Linked DNA regions of Nothobranchius furzeri. The protein of the gene in region 1 purifies or fractionates together with the protein of each later gene. This does not show direct contact. Links are inferred from orthologs where the notes say so. Each region holds a gene or a part of one and is shown in the gene's direction. Other genes may lie near its edges.

Region 1 (6,760 bases):
TCTCAGGACGTTCATCCTCTGCTGGACCTTTTTATGATGGAGGTGATGGTGGCTCCCAGGAAGCAACATGAGTCCACCATCATGATGGGAGTGTCAAACGGGGTTACAGGTGTGTGTGTGTGTGTGGGGGGGGGGGGGGGGGGGGGGCTACCTAAAGTCCACAACGACCTCTGCTGTCTTCTGGGTGTTTAGCACCAGGTTGTTGTGGCTGCACCAGGACTCCAGCCGTTCCACCTTCTTACGTACGCAGACTCATCCCCATCAGAGATGAGTGAGATGACGGTGGTGTCGTCTGCAAACTTGATAGGCTTCACAGACTCATGGTTGGAGGTGCAGCTGTTGGTGTACAGCGAGAAGAGCAGATGAGAGATAACGCAGCCTTGAGGGGAACCGGTGCTGATGGTTCACAGGTCAGAGACATTCATTATAGCTGATAGCATGATAGCATGATAGCAACAGGGAAACTCACTCTAACTGTTTTTTTTAATCTTTTTATTCATCTAAAACACAATGAAAACTGTATTTATGTAAGTGTTATATTCAATAGTTGTGTGGAGTCAAAGGGCAAATCCAGCTAGCTACAGCGCTACAAACTTTACTTAATGAAGAGCTATGTTAGAGCCCCCACAGTGGCAATCAGTTAGAGCTACACAAACCTGCTTATCTCAGTGAAGCTGGAAAACAAAATCCTACATTTTTTTTGTCTTCATGGGAGTATTAATATTAAGGAGAAGGAGTACATTCAATAGTTACTCAGTAGAAACCGTTTTTTAAAGAGCAAGTCACCCCAAATCAACTTATTTTACTGATAAACTATATAGACGAGTGTCTAATGGTGCTATAGAGCTCCGGGAGCTGACATCACTTCTCCCGGCATGCAACAGTTCAAATCGAAATGGCGCCATATTGGCATGCAGAAGCCGGCAGCTGGACTATTTGTTATTGTCAGAAAACTCAATCAGACAGGAAATATGGTAGATTCCTGTTGTGCCCCAGGATGCAGAACAGACACGGACGACATAAGGAATGAGCCATCTACAGGATTCCCCAAGATCCGGAGCACCGCAAACGTTGGATCATTGTAATAAAACGCGCTAGTGACCGGGCTGAAATGAAGCTGTGGGACCCCGAGAGTAAAGGTTTTCGCTTATGCAGCGACCGCTTCATATCAGGTACTTAAACAACGTTTCCTCAACTGTGTATGGTGTTTATTTTAAATGCTTTTATTACGATTCTTAGTGGGCTTCCTAAACTTATTTTGGCGTGGCTTTTTCTGTCTTATTACTCATAGCAGCAAGTAAACATCACGTAAAACGTTGCCTCGTGAGTTCTGCGTGCTGCCGTTTACGTGTTTTATGATCACAGCAGTTAACCGGCTAAGCTGTATTTAATTTTTAAGCAATGGTTGATCAATTGTCAGATCACACATAAAAAGCATTTTGGATTGCTATTATTTGTCTCACCGAGTCAGATCTCAGACAGATCCTGAGACGCTCCTGCCTGACATATTTATTTTATTCATGGAAAACAATCAAACTAGTGATTTCTCTTGGTGTTCAGTTTATACATTCAAACAGCACAGCACTCTATTTAAACTACTTACGTGTAAATCTGTTATTTGTCCATCCATCCATTTTCATCCGCTTATCCGGAGTCGGGTTGCGGGGGCAGTAGCGTCGAGAGGTCCAGACTTCCCTTTCCCCAGCCGCCTGAGCCAGCTCCTCCGGGGAAATCCCAAGGGGTTCCCCGGCCAGATCCGGTAAGAAGTCCGCTCCGACAGCTTCTGGCGTTTTAAAAAAGTATCCCAGGGGCACGGTTAAGGGTCGGAGATGTTTGGTCTATTTAATTTCTGACTATATAAAACGATTTCTTCAGTTTTAAAGTGTGAAGTAAACTCAGACGAAGTAAAATCCAAGCCGATCCCGTTCATGTTCATGTTTACGATCCGTGTTTGTTTACCATTTTTTCCCTGCCAATATGGCGTCTACTAACTGAGAGTCACGTGGGGTCCGGAGCTCTATAGATGTGTGTAGTCAATAATTTGGCACTTTAGTGCATCTTATAATTTAAATATGCAGCCTAAAACTGTCAGTGTTGCGCCCCCTTCAGGTAAAAACTCTGCACTACATTTGAATTTAAATCTGCCATCACTGTTGGCTAAGAGGTACCCTTTGAAGTCAGCTGGTACATTATGATGTCACAATGCCGTTGTGAACCTGTTTGTGTGTGTTTGTTAACGGCTCCGCCCTCTCGGTCAGCCAGGCAAACGCATTCGTTGCATTTTTCAAACATGAAGTGGGAGTGTAGTAAGTTTCTTGTAGTGTGACTTGCTCTTTAATTAAATGAAATGCTACAGCATTTGTGGCCATAGCAACTCATGAGGGGAACTCATTCTCTTATTGTTTAGCTAAAAATGCAATAATAACTGTATTTATGTTACAGGTTAAACACGGTCATCTCCCCTTCCCTTCTTAACAAAACCAAAGTGTAATTCCCCAATGCATAAACATTAACATGCTGGTGCTGGTGGTGATGAGCTACATCGTAGCTACAGTTGCCCTGGGGCTCATTGTGTGTGTGTGTGTGTGTGTGTGTGTGTGTGTGTGTGTGTGTGTGTGTGTTTGTGTGTGTGTGTGTGTGTGTGTGTGTGTGTGTGTGTGTGTGTGTGTGTGTGTGTGTGTGTGTGTGTGTGTGTGTGTGTGTGTGTGTGAATAACTGGTTGTATTGTAAAGTGCTTTGAAGGGGGTTGTAGAACCCTAAGAAGTGAGTGACTTATGCTTAAGTGTACCATGAACATCTCATTTGTATCTAAAATGCAGTAAATTCGCCAAACTTGGCAACCCTGTTTGAATTGAAGCACCCCCCCCCCCAATGTGGTTCACTGTTCAAAAACCTCTCTCTCTCTCTCTCTCTCTCTCTCTCTCTCTCTCTCTCTCTCTCTCTCTCTCTCTCTCTCTCTCTCTCTCTCTCTCTCTCTCTCTCTCTCTCTCTCTCTCTCTCTCTCTCTCTTTCTCTCTGTCACGTGACAGGCGGGAGCTTGTGCTAACCAGTGCAGTGCAGCTAATCTCGCTGTTGTTTTTCTTCTAACCATGTTCGTAGCTCGGAGTATCGCTGCGGACCATAAAGATCTGATCCACGATGTCTCTTACGATTTTCACGGCCGGAGAATGGCAACATGCTCCAGCGACCAGAGTGTGAAGGTGAGCTGACTCAAGCTAGCATGTTAGCGTCACCCACGTTCCTAGCTTCTTACTGAACACACTCGTGTTGTGTGCTGGCACATTATGCGCTTATTAGCTAAATTAGACAAAATTTGTTTTAAAACTATAAACTAATTTAAAGTATTGCATGTTACTGTACTTACATTGTAGCATGCAGGCTAATGTGTGCAGACGTTTGACTGGAATATGAACGTATCAGTAAAAGCTTCAATCACGTAAGGCAGCGAGTGTTGTGTTTTAGGTAGGAACCATAGGAACTCATTTCGTGTGTTGTCAGTTTAAAATTAATGTGTGGAGATGACGTAACAGCAGCTGTTTATTGTGACTTCCTGACAGGTTTGGGACAAAAGTGAGAATGGAGAGTGGCACTGCACAGCCAGCTGGAAGGTAAACAACCTGCTTACGTTTGTTTACATGACCGTAAAAGCCCTTCCTGGGTAATCTTTGCTGTTTCAACAGATTTACTATTGCTCTACACTCACGGGCACTATCAAGTTTGCCAATAGATCCGGGTTGGACCTCTTTTAGACCTCTTTAGAACCACCTTAATCCTTCATCTCAAAGAGCCAACAAGAAGTTAAAGTGGTCCTCAGAGGCTCTGGTCCAACCTGACATGACAGCATCGGCTCCAACCATGATGAGAAGCTCCAGTTCCACCACATCCCAAAGGTTCTGGGCTGGACTGAGATCTGTTGACTGTGGAGGCCATTAGAGTCCAGTTCTAGAAACTAGTTAGAGATGATCTGAGCTATGTGACATGGTGCTGCTGGAAGTAGCATCAGAAGATGGGTCTATGTGGTCATAAAGGGCTGGACATGGTCAAACTCTTCAGCTTCTCTTCTTCTATTCTATACAACATTCAAACCATGGAAATGTCTTTTCCTCCACATTCTGATGCTCAGTTTCAACTTCAGCAAGTAGCCTTCATCATGTCTAGATGCCTAAATGGACAGTGCCGCCCGTCATGCGATTGGCTGAGTGGAAATGTGCAAAGCTGTAGAATAGGTCAATCAATCAAAGCTTTCAATCAATCAAAGCTTTATTTATAAAGCGCCTTCCGCAACCCTGTCAGGAAGCCCAAAGCGCTGAACATGGTACAGTTGTAAGTAATTATATTGAATAAATCAACAATAAAAGAAATTCAAATTACAAAATACAAATTACAAAATACAAAATGGAAATTACAAGATAGATGAAACATTCCGGTAAAATACAAATGTGTGAAACACATTTGGATTGAGTGGATGGATTGAGTGTACCAATGAAAACTGTGGAATGGATTCAACATAAAAGAGTGCCAAAATCAAACATGTTCTGGAAATGCCAAGCGGAGGAGGTGTGTTTTTAGGTGATTCTTAAAGACTGGCAGAGAAGGGGACAGCCTAACTGAGGGTGGCAACTGGTTCCAGAGTAACGGTGCTAGGACTGAGAAAGCTCGGTCCCCACGGGTACGACACCTAGACCGAGGGACAGCGAGCAGGCCTTGGTCAGAGGAGCGCAGAGCGCGTGATGGGGAGTGTCTTTTCAGGAGTGTGGCTAGATAGGGGGGAGCACCACCCTGGAAGAAATGATAAACAAAGACGAGTATTTTGAATTGTGAGCGATAGGAAATCGGAAGCCAGTGCAGGGAGGCCAGAACTGGACTGATGTGGTCCCGTTTCCTGGTCCCAGTCAGGAACCTGGCAGCGCTGTTCTGCACAACCTGTAGGCGATGCAGTGTTGACTGATACAACCCTGCATATAGAGAGTTGCAGTAGTCAAGCCAAGAAATTAGAAAGGCATGCAGTACCCGCTCCAGGTGGGCTCTTGACAGCATATGCTTGATTTTAGCAAGGCGTCTCAGGTGAAAGAAACTGGACCGGATCACAGAATTGATGTGAGCATCAAATTTAAGTCCTACATCAAGTTTCACCCCCAAACTGGTAACAACTGGTTTTGAGTATGGAGAAAGAGGGCCAAGATCAGCATAACGATCCACATTCCTGCTGTTGGGGTGAAAAACAATGAGCTCTGTCTTTCCCTCATTCAGATGTAGATAGTTGGACATTAGCCAAGACTTCACCTCATTAACACAGGAGACAAAGGACTGAATAAAGTGACCTTTCTCCTGACACAATGGAGAGTAAATCTGGCAATCGTCAGCATACAGATGGAATGATAGGCCATGTTTACGAAAGATTGACCCCAGAGGTAGCAGATGTACCTATGAAGTGACTGGTGAGTGTATATTTGTGTATTTTGGACTTATCCATGATGTAATGATGTGTGTGCAGACCCACAGTGGATCAGTGTGGAGAGTAACCTGGGCCCATCCAGAGTTTGGGCAGGTCCTGGCCTCCTGCTCCTTCGACAGAACAGCTGCTGTCTGGGAGGAGATCGTAGGGGAGTCCAATGACAAACAGAGAGGCCTGAGCCACTGGGTTTGTACAGCCACAGCTCAGTCATTAATGTTTTCATAGGTTTGCCTGTCTCGAGTCCTGACCCGTGTTTCTGGTGCTCTGATTCAGATAAAGAGAACAACACTGGTGGACAGCAGAACATCTGTAACTGATGTGAAGTTTGCTCCTAAACACATGGGTCTGATGCTGGCCACCTGCTCTGCTGATGGAGTGGTGAGGATCTACGAGGCTCCTGACGTGATGAACCTGAGCCAGTGGTCTCTGCAGCACGAGATCTCATGCAAGCTCAGCTGCAGCTGTATATCCTGGAACCCTTCCAGGTTAGATGATAATTATTTCACTTAACACATGGGGGACATGTTTGTTTCTGTAATCGGTCATTTGGAGAATTTCCTTAAACCTGAGCATCACTGTTGCTGCTGCCATTCCTTTATGTCTTGTTTTATGACAAGAGGTCATTACACAAGAGGTGTTACAGACTGTGAGAACTTTCTGTCTTTCTTTGTGGACAAAGTCAATAAGGTCAGATCTAGCATCTCTCCTTCAGCCTTATCGCTGCCTCTCCCGACTCCAACCAGACCCATCATCCTAGATAGCTTTGCACCTGTTTCTTTGCCTGAGTTAACCAAACTAGTTAACTCTATGAAGACCTCTGCATGCCCCCTCGACATCTTACCCTCATCTTTGTTTAAAAGTGCTTTTCTGTCCATCGGTCCCATCGTGCTCTCTATAATTAATGCTTCTCTGGTTTCTGGTCACGTCCCTGCTTACTTTAAGAATGCTGTAATCCACCCGCTTCTTAAAAACCGGGTCTTGACCCCTCTCTCCACAGCAGCTTCAGACCCATCTCTAAACTTCCGTTCATCTCCAAGATCTTGGAAAAGGTTGTGGCTAAACAACTCACAGCTGCTCTTGATGAACATAACATCTATGATAGCTTCCAGTCAGGTTTTCGTAGAGCTCATTCTACTGAAACAGCTCTTCTTAGGGTCTCTAATGACCTTCTGACTCAGTGATGCAGGGGACTGTTCTGTTCTGGTCCTGCTGGACCTGACTGCAGCCTTTGACACTGTTGACCATCACCTGCTACTGGAGAGGCTGAGATACTGGGTAGGCCTTTCAGGATCTGCTCTGGAGTGG
Region 2 (5,826 bases), on another chromosome or scaffold:
AGTATTTGCAAGATATTGGTATTTGGGTCTGTACTGGTTAGACTTAAATGAGTTAAACCAAGGTCTATAGCCCTTGGGTCATAAACTATGAGCTATGAGTATATTGGTCTTTTTATACTGGGAATCAGGAGTTCTTTTAGTGATCATCTTGTTTTTTGTTTATTTTTGCCCTGATTGTGCCCTGAGCAGTTTTATGACTGAATAAAAAAAAAATCTACATAAATTGAAAAATCGTCTTAAATAATCGAGATCTCAATTTCAGTCACAATAATCGTGATTATTGTTTTTGCCATAATCGAGCAGCCCTACTTTAGCATATCCGGTCACATTATGATGACGTCATATTCAGTGGTTCTGCATCATTTCAGGCCCCGTGGTCAACTGTCTGAACCGCTGAACAGAAGTGCCTGGCTTATTTTCTAAGTAAAATAAATATGCGCAATACGTTGTCAACATCAGTGAGTCTCTAAGTCTATTCTTTTTGTATGTTATATATGTTAAAATATGTGTAAATAGGTCGCTGATTAACACTTGCAATTTAGTGTTGTGATGGTTTTAAAAAAATTCTGAAGGTAGTAAAAAAGGTATTAAAAAGTAGTAAATTTTACTTAAGGATTGCTGTATATACCCTGGACTCGTTATGTGCCAAACCGGGCGTTGAGGTCTGCTGATTGCCTGCTGCTTTGCGTTCCAACAATGGAATGCAAAACGCGGGGGCAGCGTGCTTTTGTCTATGCTGCTCCGACACTCTGGAATGCTCTTCCTCTTTCAGTGAGGCTGGCACCATCCCTCCTCCGGTTCAAGTCGCTACTTAAGGCTCACTTTTATGACCAGGCATTTTTAAATCCCTGACTTTTATTATTTTATTATGTGTCTTTTATTGACCGTGATTATCTGCCTTGTTGTGCATTTTATTGTTGACTGTGTATTGTTTTATATTGTGTTTTTACTTTTTATTCTGTACAGCACTTTGGTCGGCTGCCATGCCGTTTTTAAATGTGCTTTATAAATGTATGGTATGGTATGATGGATAAAAGTCCGCTCAGAGTCAAAGATGACACCCAGGTTCTTCACTTGTGAAGATGGATTAAAAGGCATTGATTGCAGTTTTGGTAAAAGTTTCTTTCTCTGGGCCTCAGGACGATTACTAAAACTTCAGTTTTGTCCTGGTTAAGCTGGAGAAAGTTTCCTGCCATTCAGGATTTGATGTCTAAAATGCAGTTAAAAAGTGCATCCATTGACTGTGTGTCATCAGGAGACACCAAGATGTACAGCTGTGTATCATCCGCGTAACTGTGGAAATTCACCCCATGTGTCCTGATGACACTGCCAAGAGGGAGCATATAAAGGTTAAAAAGCACTGGGCCTAAAATTGAACCCTGGGGCACACCACATGTAATCCCGTGAACCCTAGAGGATCAGGTATCCAAACTCACCATAAAAGTCCTGTCTGTGAGGTAGGAAGTGAACCATCGGCCGATCCGTTTCAGAGTTAAAGGAATACTACTGTATCAAAGGCAGCACTTAGATCCAGGAGAACCAACACAGTCACCTTCCGTTTAGCATAATTTACTCTAAAATTATTTAAAATCTTCAGAAGGGCCATCTTGGTGCTGTGGTTCACCCTAAAACCAGACTGAAATTTTTCTAAGATATTATGGGTGTTGAATTAAAACAAGCTTTTCTAAAAATTTTGCTTAAAAATGGTAAGTTGGAAACCGGTTGATAATTGTTTAAGTCATTAAAACCTAAATTGCTCTTCTTCAGCAGGGGCCTCACCACCGCCCATTTAAAAGCGGCAGGAAAGACCCCCGTCTGAAGAGAGCAATTCATCATAGTTAAAACCGCATCTCTAAAAGAATCAGAATTGTTTAAAAAAAACTAGTGGGAATAGGGTCCAGGACACATGTGGTGGGCCTCACTGAGGAGAAAACTTATCAAGACTCTCAATAGAAAACTGACGTGGAAACGCTTGGATCAGAAAAGCCACAAAGATCTCTGTCACACTGTAACTTAGCATTCATCGTGGCTCATTACGGCTGTTGTTGGTTTAGTGTCCAGGAAGCGGCAGAGACTAGTAGAAGCTAACCGTTAGCATTAGTAACTCCACAACACAGCAGAACTCCTCCAGGCTTGTGTTATTTGGGATAAAATCAATGTTGCAACGGTAACAGTCAGTGATAGAGTCGTGTTGCTGAAATGTCAGAGCATCAGGAAATAAGACTCCAAAGCCCTCAGGCTTCTAAAATGTTTTCTTTAAACTGTCTTATTAAAAAAAGAAGTAATTTTATTTTATAACAAAGACAAAATGAACTTATTTAATAAACCCTCATTCTTCTGTTCTTTACTCCTCTGGCTAACTTCTTGTTCCTGAAACAGGAGCACCGGAGCTATTTCTCCACAGTGATTGACTCTAAAGGCATTTGTCTACACTAGTGATCACTGCTAATGTATTGAAAGCAAGTGAACTTGGATTTTAAACTTCTGCTTATTGTTAAATATTAAAACATGACTCTGCTGATTTTATTTCCTACATTTTCCAAAAACCCCTCTCAGCCTGGCGGCACTCAGACACTAACAGAGTTTGATGTGAAGTGGAGGAACTGGCACGAGGAGGTGGACCGCTACCTGAAGGATAACTCATTTGCAAGCAACCAACACCTGGAGGTCATCTGCAAAGTCAGTGACAGCTTGAGTTGTGGTTTGGTCACGTTTTCTGATGTGAACTGAATCAAACAGGGTGTTGATGCAACCTTAGATCCTACTGGGGGATGAAGACGTGTTGTTGGAGCACAAGGAACTTCTCAGCACCTGGTACTACTTCCTCATCACCAGACTCCTCTACTGCCATCCCACAGTGAAGCCCACAGAGTTGCATTACTACGCTCAGGTAGCCCCCGAGTCTGCAGCACTGACTCTGAGCACATGTAGTTTACCTGACCCGTGTGTTTGTGTCGTCTGCAGTCGTCTATGATGATGTTTCTGGATTCGGGCGTGCCGGAGCCGTTGGACAGCATCCTGCTGGCTGCCTTTGAGTTTGACATTCATCAGGTCATCAAGGACTGCAGGTAACCGACAGGGTCTACCATATTAATCACATTCAAGGTGCTTAACAAGTCAGTTCACGAGTCCTTGAACGGTCGGCGTCTCCCTTGTCCCCGCAGTATTGCTCTCAACAACTGGTGGTTTGTGGCTCATTTAACAGACCTGTTGGATCACTGCAAACTCCTCCAGTCTCATAATCTCCAGTAGGGATGATTTCTTTTATCTGGTTTTAATCCAGAGAGGATAAAATTACACAGTTAATTAATCTAATCTGTGTGTGTGTGTGTGTGTGTATGTAGTTTTGGATCCAACTTGAGAGAGTTCCTGCTGTTAGAATACGCCTCTGGTCTGTTCACGCATCACAGGTATGGCTCCCTTGTGACCGTTTAACCACACAGTAACATGTTTACACCTGAGGGACTGTCTAGTGGCACACTTGTGTTTTGGGTTTCAGTCACACAGAAAATCAACGACGACAAAAAAATGTCCTGCAATCATCGAACTGGATCCAAACATTGAAATATGAGTCGTTCTCTGTTATTTTAGCGTTCACTAACCAGATGTTTCTGTGTGTTTTTAGTCTCTGGCAGTGTGCCGTGGATTATTTCGATCACTGCCCAGAATTTGGCCGCGTCTATCTGGAGCTGCAGATCGAGCGAGTTCCTTTGGACACGGAGCGCAAAGCGCTCAAAGTGCTCCGAATTTGTGAGGAGAGGCAGATGTCAGAGCAGGGTAGGGGCTCGGTCGTCCTTTTTATCAGTTTGTGTCACAAAGCTAATCTCTCTGGTGTAAGCTAGGCTGGAAAAGCTTGACCTGGTTTGTTTTTTGTTGTTTTGGTCCCAGTGCGGAGCATCTGTAAGATCATGGCCATGCGGGCTGTAAGGAACAACCGACTGGGCTCTGCTCTCTCCTGGAGCATCCGAGCCAAAGATGCTGCGTTTGCCACCCTGATTTCAGAGAGGTCACATCCCTTTAGTGGTGCTCTTACTGAAATATACACAACTGACAGCTTCATCTTCATTCTCCAGGAACACATTTAACTTTTACCTACATGCTTCTTAAGCTTTTTATAAGTATCACTGTTGGGCTTATTAGTTCACTAAATGTCTTTCTCTCTGAAAATGATTTGAAGTTGTTTTTGTGTTTGTGTTTTAGGTTCCTGCAGGATTACTGCGCCAAAGGCACCTTCTCTGATCTGGATCTGATCGACAACCTGGGCTCAACCATGCTGCTCAGCGACAGGCTAACCTTCCTTGGTAGGAGCCTGAACACACACACACACACACACACACACACACACACACACACACACACACAAGACTAATAGAAACAGAACCAGTATCCGCTTGATGCAACAACATGTGATGGTGAGAATTTCTGGAGGATGATTTGATAGAAATGATTCTCTCCAGGAAAATACCGTGAGTTCCACAAGCTGTACGGAGAGAAGTGCTTCAGCGATGCTGCAAAGCTGCTACTCTCCCTCATGACGGCTAAAATCGCTCCCCAAAGCTTCTGGATGACGCTGCTGACGGATGCTCTGCCTCTGCTGGAGCAGAAAGAGGTCAGTCCACACCTGAACATCGGTTTAAAGTAGATTTGTTATTACAAAATCAAGAACTTTAGTTTATCCCTTTGATGCATAATGGTCACTACAGTGGACAGGTACTCAAAATAGTTATTTATTTATTTTTGCTATTAAGCACAGCTGTTGAAGACTTTATTGCATGTGAGCCTCTCCAGTTGGACTTCAGTAAGGCAAGCCAACATATTTCATGTTCAGAATGCACGCTGTCCACTGAGATAGACATGTAATAAAGTATTTGTAAATTAACAAAATGTTACAAAGAATATTTGTTGAAATTTGTTTAATTCACACCTAAAGATGAATGAAACAAATTGTTTAAAAAATCATGGTTGAAGATCTCATAATTCATGCATCAGAGGGTTAAATGCACAAATCTGGAGCATTCAGATGTTGTTAAATGAATGTTTTGATCCTGTTTAAGATCATTTGTGACCTCCTGGTCAGAGTTTTGTGTGCATGAAAAATGCTGCACAAATAGAATAAGTAATATCTATCTTTAAGTAGGTATTTGTGGAACTTTTTATTCATCATTAAAAATTAATTAATTTATGTAGTTTTTTTGAGTGACACACTACCGTATGTTATTTTTAATGTGAACATTACTACCCCTGTTTTATTAAAGGGGCACTTTGCAACTTTTTCATATTTTGAAGTCATTTTCTTGAGCCAGTTTGTGCTAAAATGACCCTTTTTGAGGTTAATTAAAGGCCACACAGCTCCTATCATCTCTCCCCCCCCCCCCACCCCCCCATGTGGCAGAATATCCCACTTGCAACCCCAGAGTGCCGGTAAAAAATTGAGCTGACACACCTGGCGCTGCAGTCTGCTTCCTGCATGTTTTGGATCGGGAACACATCTGATATGTTTGATTTGGTGACGACTCACTCCTGTAGACACTAATGAAGGCTGAGGAGTCATTTCAGCTGTTAGATTAAGGTGTTAAAAAGACGAACGCACAGCGAGGAGATTTCTTGGGGGTGCTAAAACTGCCTAGTTACCATTTAAACCAACTGACTACTAAACATGTTTCTTGTAAGAGTTAGCATATCAAAAATTGAGCTATTTGTCATTTTTTATTATGTGGATGAAAAAATCCGAACAGTTGGAGTTTCAGTGGAGTAACTTGTTCTCCTTGTTTTCAGGTGATCTTCTCTGCAGAGCAAACCTATGAGTTGATGTACTGCTTAGAGGAG
Region 3 (6,660 bases), on another chromosome or scaffold:
AATAACATTTTAATTTATTTTCTGAACTATTTCTGGTGAATTTTAATGTTTAAATCTGTTAGATTGTTACTGACAGCAGCTACGTTTAAGTTCCACTTCCTGTTGTGACTGAAGCTGCTGCAGCATGGAGGTGTAGTTCTCAGTCATCCTGGACGTGATCATCCTGAGAGCTTCAGCTGAAAACAGCTGGACGTTTCTGGATATGTTGGAGACATTTAGCCTCTCATCCCAGAGGCTGCTTCCACACTTTGGTTGTGGTCAGAAACAAACACACTGGTTGTGCTGCAAGTCGTCTTCTTTTTTCTCCAAAACACGTTTGTGTCTAAATGAAGGTGATGTTGTTGTTCATAGAGTTAAAATTCATGTTGAAGTTAAGATTATTTCATCTAGTAGGACCTGTGGTTAGCTGGCTCATGTAAAATATGTCATGTCTTCAAAGAATCGGAATCGGGAATCGAAACGAGGAATTGGAATTGAAATTGGAATCGGAATCGTACAAAATCAAACGATGCCCAGCCCTAGTTATCAGAACCCTCGTATCTGGAGAAACTTGAGTTCAGAGTGGGAGTGAATTTGGTCTGCATTAAACTTATAAAGTTGGTTCTTATCAAAACACATCAGACGCAATCTGTCGAGTCTACGTACCCTGATCGAAAACCCCCATGGTAGATCCAGAATGGTGAGGTCCGGGGACCCCAGAGGTACCGAAGTCCGTAGAAGAAACCGCAGTGCCGACTAGACCGTTCTCGAGTTGTCTTCTGGTCACGACAGTTGTTATTTGTGTCTTAGGAATAACTCTTGAGTTGGTTCAGCTTTATTCTGAAGGAACCGTTTGCGGTCAGCTGCAGCGTGCAACGGGTTTTTGACAGCTTGTCCAAAGATGCTCTGGGTTAAAGAGGTTTTGCTCCGGACGGCCGGTCCGAAGCTTTCTCAAGAACTGACTCACGGTGAAGAGAGTCCTGTTTTAATAATCATCGTATTTTGATTTACTAACAAACCAGAATTTGACGTGTAAAAAGGTTTTTACCAACAAACCTCAGAAAACATGCCCTGTGTCAGATACAGGAGCTCTGATTGGTGGAACAGAAAGCACTGTGTCAGGATATTAGCTTAACCTTGTCATCATCACGTGTGTGAGCTGTCAGTAGATAGTGACTCACTGTTAAATCTAACTTTACTGATCATAACATCATAATATTCATTTCAACCTCAGTAATTTAAGCACAGATTAATCAAAACATTGTTATTGTCCTTCAACCATTATTGTTCATTATATGATTTAATTTAGAAAGTTCACCCGTCTTGTGCTGTGAATAAAAACCAGGCTTAGATAAGAGTGAGCTTGGAGAGACCTTGAAGCATCAGTGTGTTCTTGCAGATTAGAGCACCAGTTAAGACTTACGTCTCCAAATGAACCGAAACCGAGGAGGTGACCTGTAGATGGACAAACAGACCGTTTCCGGAGGCTAAACGTTCTAGCTGCTGTTTACATCCTGCCAGATGCGAACCCACACAAGGCTCAGCCCGTGCTCCAATATCCCTGGAGCGGGCGTACCTGGACCCCCTCATCATTGCTCTGGGAGATTTTAACTGGTCTGAGCCAGCAGCTTCCCAAATATAAACAGTAAATTAAATGCCCAACCATAGGGGAGACAACCCTGGAACACTGTTACAGCACGCTAACTAGAGCCTCCAGCTGCATTCAGACTTTCTGACCACGTGAGCGTCCATCTGATCCCTGCGTACAAACAAAGGCTAAAACTCTTTAAGCCTGCTGTGAAGTCGGCAAAACTGTGAAGAACGAGGCTGTAGATGAGCTCCGCACATGTAGACCACAGACTGGGAGGTAATGAGGGCTGCCTCTGACAGTTTAGTTTACACAGATACGTCACCTCCTACGTCCACTTCTGCTGAGTCCGCCATTTTCCACAGGGCTAGCCTCGCTGTTCAGAGCGGGCTTTTTGGAAACCCACAGTGGTGCCCTCTACTGGCTGGTAGGTGTAAACATCAACCCAGTGGCGTGCCCATCAAAATATACATTTGATTATTTTTCCATTAGAATGAACTTTTATTCATTCTGTAAGTGGCCTGTGGAGGTATTGCTTATTTAAAATATGAAGCTTTTTCTTAAGCTGTTCCATATTCAACCTTTAATTTTAAAGTAACGGTTTAACGGGCGACTGCTAATCAGAAGTATTTATGTTTACAGTCCAGCTGTGAGGCTGTTTACAGCACTAACGGTGTGACCCTCCACCTGTGCAGGCTCTCAGGACGCTGTACAGCCAGGCCAACATGGAGACGCGCTACTTTGCAAAGAAGACCACGCTGCTGGCTCTCAGTAAACTAACGGCGCTGGCGTCTGACCTGCCGGAGGAGGAACTCAACAAACAAGTGGATGGTAAAAACCCGGTCTACACGGAGCAGACGTCCTGGTGTTGGGATCATGTTGAAGAGGGACTGACACAGCTGGAAGCATGAGACAGAAACCAGTAGACCTCTAACCGCCCCATGCCCTGTGGCAGTGCAGCAGAAAGGACCTGTTACGGATTAAATACGTGTCCTGATGATTTTTAGTGAACTGTTATTGTTACATGACTTATTATCCTGACGTCTTCGCTGGTTAAAAATCCATTCATTCATCAACAGCATCATGTCTGTTAACTTAAGACTCTGTGTGATCTGAATGTCGTCATCTGTTCTTCTCGTGATGAGGGCTCTTCTCAGGGTATCCGCGGGTCCTTAAAAGTCTTAAAAAGTCTTAAATTTGCTTTTCTAAATTTAAGGCCTTAAAAATCCTTAAAAATGACAAATAATCCTTAAATACAGTTTCCAAAGGTCTTAAATTACCAAAGACCCAATGAACAAGAATTTCTAGTTGGTGTTCAGCATTTTTTGTGTATGATGTTGGCGTAAGCGGAACCATACACATTCAAATGGTTGTAAAAGGGGGCTGTTTTTAGATGAGCACATTAGCTGGTTAAGCTAGTGGGGGCTTGCGCTATGGGGAAGTGCAAGTTTAATGGTAACTGGGTGGGTAATCCCACGTTTGCGACATGGTTAGCAACGGTTCCAGGCAATACCTGGAAATTATAGCTTAAATTTAATTTAAAAAAAATGGCTTAAATTTGGTCAAACTGGCCTTAAAAAGGTCTTAAAAAGTCTTAAATTTGGCTCCCTTAAACCTGCAGATACCCTGTCTTCTGTTTTGATGTGATGCAGTCATTTATTTGTCTTGTCCCTCAGACATTGTGGAGCAGGAACGCTTCCTGCTGCATCAGGAGACTCTGCCCAGACAGCTCCTGGAGGAGAAGCAACTAAACCCCGACACCATGCCTCTGCTCAGCGCTCACAACCTCATACAGGTGAGCTGTAGCTACGGTCCAGGGCCAACCGTGTTACGAAAACACTTTATAGCTTTTTCTGGCCGAATTTGCAATTCCAATTCAAGATTTACTTTTCTAATCCAGATTCAGCTCATTGTTCACATGCACAGCAAGATTTATGACATCATACCCTCAAAACATGAAAAGCAGTTAATCTGATATGAAATCTGAAGGTAAAATGTACTTTAGATGCTTAAAAGTTCATGCATGCAGAGTTTTCCCAGCATCTTTTACCGAGCAGCGCCTCCTGGAGGTTCTCCTCACAAAAACTCGCCCCAGCACGTTTTGCGTACGTACTTGGATTTACCGTGACTCTGCAACCGTTTGTGCTGTCAGACAGATGTAAATGTTTTTAGTAGGGCTGGGAAATAATTAGAAACTTTATAATCGAAATTTCGGACTCTTATGGTGATCATTTTCCCACGTCAATACATTTGATAAAACAATGAAAGTGTGTAGGTTGGCAGCGTTCGTGTCCCTTTAAGGAGCGGGACCTGGGGTCATGTAAAAATGTGACCCAATGTAACACGTGGCAGCCCCATCTAGTGGACAACCTTTGTTTCTCGCGTACCTGTAGTTATCGTCCATTTATCGTTGTCGAGTTGAAATGATCAATAAATCGTGATATTGATTTTAGGCCGCATCGCCCAGCCCTAGTTCCAAGTCCACTTGGTGTCATTACTGGAAATCCCTATCTGCTGTCGGGGGACCTGGGCGAGTCAGACTCGCCGTCTCACGCTCACAAACCGAGGGACAGATTGAGCGACAGACAACCGTAGATATAAACGATATCCGCAGCTGCGCCACGAAAAGCATAAAAACCCATAAGAGTGACCAGCTGCACCACCGTCAGCCCCCACAACGCCGACACCCCTGCCTCCACTCGCGGCTACGGCCGAAATGCGTTTACGGCCTTGGGGGTGTTTTACGCCCAGAACATATTAGAAGAAAGTGCGACGATGCGCCGCGAAGCGCAGTGGGACGGCGAGCGCTTCTGATCGGCGCCCTTGTTGACCTACGCTCTCGGTCACATCCGCTGCGAAGCGCCACGGAGGCTCGCGCCGCGCAGCGATCGTTTTGGTGTGAGCTCTGATTTTTTTCGGAGCCGCATCAATTCTGACAAGAAGTCGAACCAAAGCAGAAGAGGCAAGCCGGTAAATTTAACAAAATAAAAGAAAATTTTCAAAATAAAACACTGCAATTGATAAATGTGATCATTTTTGTGTATCTAAACAGACTAGAGAGATGAAAATGAACACACACGCGCGCACGCACACACACACACACACACACGCAGCAAGGGCACAAGGGTGCGGTGGGGGGGTCGGAAGACAGTAGGCGTGAGCAGAAGCACTCGTTGACACAAATTTCGTGAGCGCTCCACTTCGCAGCTGGTGTGTTCCAGACGTGTAAAATAGTTGACACTACAGATCCTGAGTCAGTCGGATGCGAGCAACAAACCCGTAGCGTCGACGATCACGTGATGGTTTGAAATCAGAGTCGTTCAGCTCTGCTGCAAGCCGTGCCTTCCTGGAGCATCGTTGCTGGGAAGAAGTCACCAGCTGGCGGTCCTGCTGAAGTACAACAGGAGCCGGTCGCTTGTGTTGAAAGTGTCTTTCTCTGCAGCTCTACATCTGTGATGACAACAGGAGGGCCAACGAGTACGACTTCAAAAAGGCGTTGGACCTGCTCGAGTACATCCACAAGGTGACTTCCTGCTCATGTGTCGGACTGCTGAGGATCGATCTGGCTTTAGCTCATGAGGCTTTTCTGTTTGCGTTGCAGGAGGACTCTGTAGACATTGATGCTCTGAAGTGTGAGATCTTCGGCAAAGCACTCAGACGAGATGAGTAAGCTCTGACACGTGTATGGTTATCGGTTCAGTAGTCACAAACCTCCGACACCTCATCACCCCCTCCCACTTTAGGCTGAAATTAAACTGTAAAACTGGTGAAATAGCAGTTTAGTTTTTAAATACCCAGAGTTTGTTTTAATAACAATCTCACCGGGTCAAATGTTCTTTGTTTAAGGGACGTTTGTTCATGTTTCAGCTTGGCTGCTGGCCAGGTTTTGTTTAGACTTAGACTTGCTTTTATCTTTTTATTTATTTATTTATTTTCCCCGTGTCCTGTCTGGCTGTGAAGCTAACTCTCAGGCACACTCCAGGACCCCCCTAAGGGTATAGAGCTGGTGCAGTGTTCCACGACCAGGGCGAAAACCACATTGCTAATCCGGAACCTGAGGCTCGACAGCCCAACGGACCCTCCTCTCCAGAACCCCTGAATAGACCTCACCAGAGAGGCTCAGGAGTGTGATACCCCTGTAGTTGGAACACATCCTGCGGTCCCCCTTTTATAAATCGGTGTACCAGAAATGTATAAAAAAACTAAAGTAGTGAGGAGTAAAAATAAAGCTACTGCATGATGAGCTGTTGCACTAAAGATGACATCATAACAGCATGTCTATAGTCCCCCGAGGTTCCTAAAGGTGGTGGAGGGAAAGGTGTGATGTGTCTGAATCTGGACATCCTGCTGCAGATGCTGCAGAACCACATGTCCATGGTGGGGATAGGTGGGGTCTGAGGCTATGCGCTGCGCTGCAAAGGCCGTCTGTTTTTCCTGTGAGCGAGGAGAGGTGTTGGAAAGAAGGTTACATCGAAACAGATTTCCATCTCAGCCGGCTTGGAGGGATTGTCAGTTTTTACAATCTGTGAGCCGGCGGGGCTGCCGAGTCGCTAGCGAGCTAACGCTGCTGCACCGGGACTTGTAATTTGACCCGGCAGGCAAAAGCTCTAGAGTTGTTTAGAAAAAAAACAAAGCCAGTAAACAGGAGCGACCAAGAAGTGATTTCATGTACCCCTAAGAAGCCATGGCATCTTTGTGTTTTACTCTAATATTGGGTGAAGCAGGCTAGAGACTAACGTTAAGCTAACAATGCTAACAGTGAATTAGAGGCAAATAGTCGTCTGTAAATCTTTCTGAAGTTATTGTTTCAGGTACCAACAAATAGATAGTACAATCAATGTTTTTTATCTTTATGTCTACTTACTGTGAGTGACTCGTCTTCACTTGTCATCTAGAATGTTCTGGTGCTGATCCATAACTGGCAACAGCCATGAAGCTCTCAAAGAAAGAGTGAGAGAGTCCCCCGTTTGTTTTGAAAATGGCTGCAAATTTACCCCAAAAGGTCCAGGTTGTCCACTGGTTTAAATGACCCAAAGCTATAAAGTATAAATGAAGTATAAATAAAAGTATAAATGAAGCGACGGTGGAGGGAA

What was found.
Region 2: the proteins of seh1l (region 1) and nup85 purify together in Homo sapiens (affinity purification with western blotting; 4 studies listed by BioGRID and IntAct, with this or other methods). This does not show direct contact. The link is inferred for Nothobranchius furzeri from reciprocal best matches to the Homo sapiens genes SEH1L and NUP85.
Region 3: the proteins of seh1l (region 1) and nup133 purify together in Homo sapiens (affinity purification with mass spectrometry; 4 studies listed by BioGRID and IntAct, with this or other methods). This does not show direct contact. The link is inferred for Nothobranchius furzeri from reciprocal best matches to the Homo sapiens genes SEH1L and NUP133.

What each region holds. Positions count from the first base shown.
Region 1 is NC_091745.1:49,022,742-49,029,501, reverse strand, and holds the start of seh1l (nucleoporin SEH1), read left to right. Parts: upstream 1-3,009; 5' UTR 3,010-3,089; coding exon 3,090-3,200; intron 3,201-3,557; coding exon 3,558-3,608; intron 3,609-5,494; coding exon 5,495-5,641; intron 5,642-5,728; coding exon 5,729-5,940; intron 5,941-6,760. UniProt on the Homo sapiens protein: Component of the Nup107-160 subcomplex of the nuclear pore complex (NPC). The Nup107-160 subcomplex is required for the assembly of a functional NPC.
Region 2 is NC_091752.1:54,273,207-54,279,032, forward strand, and holds part of nup85 (nuclear pore complex protein Nup85), read left to right. Parts: intron 1-2,556; coding exon 2,557-2,679; intron 2,680-2,758; coding exon 2,759-2,890; intron 2,891-2,964; coding exon 2,965-3,068; intron 3,069-3,164; coding exon 3,165-3,248; intron 3,249-3,344; coding exon 3,345-3,410; intron 3,411-3,625; coding exon 3,626-3,777; intron 3,778-3,888; coding exon 3,889-4,006; intron 4,007-4,200; coding exon 4,201-4,301; intron 4,302-4,457; coding exon 4,458-4,609; intron 4,610-5,775; coding exon 5,776-5,826. UniProt on the Homo sapiens protein: Essential component of the nuclear pore complex (NPC) that seems to be required for NPC assembly and maintenance. As part of the NPC Nup107-160 subcomplex plays a role in RNA export and in tethering NUP96/Nup98 and NUP153 to the nucleus.
Region 3 is NC_091747.1:67,769,010-67,775,669, reverse strand, and holds part of nup133 (nuclear pore complex protein Nup133), read left to right. Parts: intron 1-2,262; coding exon 2,263-2,398; intron 2,399-3,243; coding exon 3,244-3,362; intron 3,363-5,009; coding exon 5,010-5,090; intron 5,091-5,168; coding exon 5,169-5,233; intron 5,234-6,660. UniProt on the Homo sapiens protein: Involved in poly(A)+ RNA transport. Involved in nephrogenesis.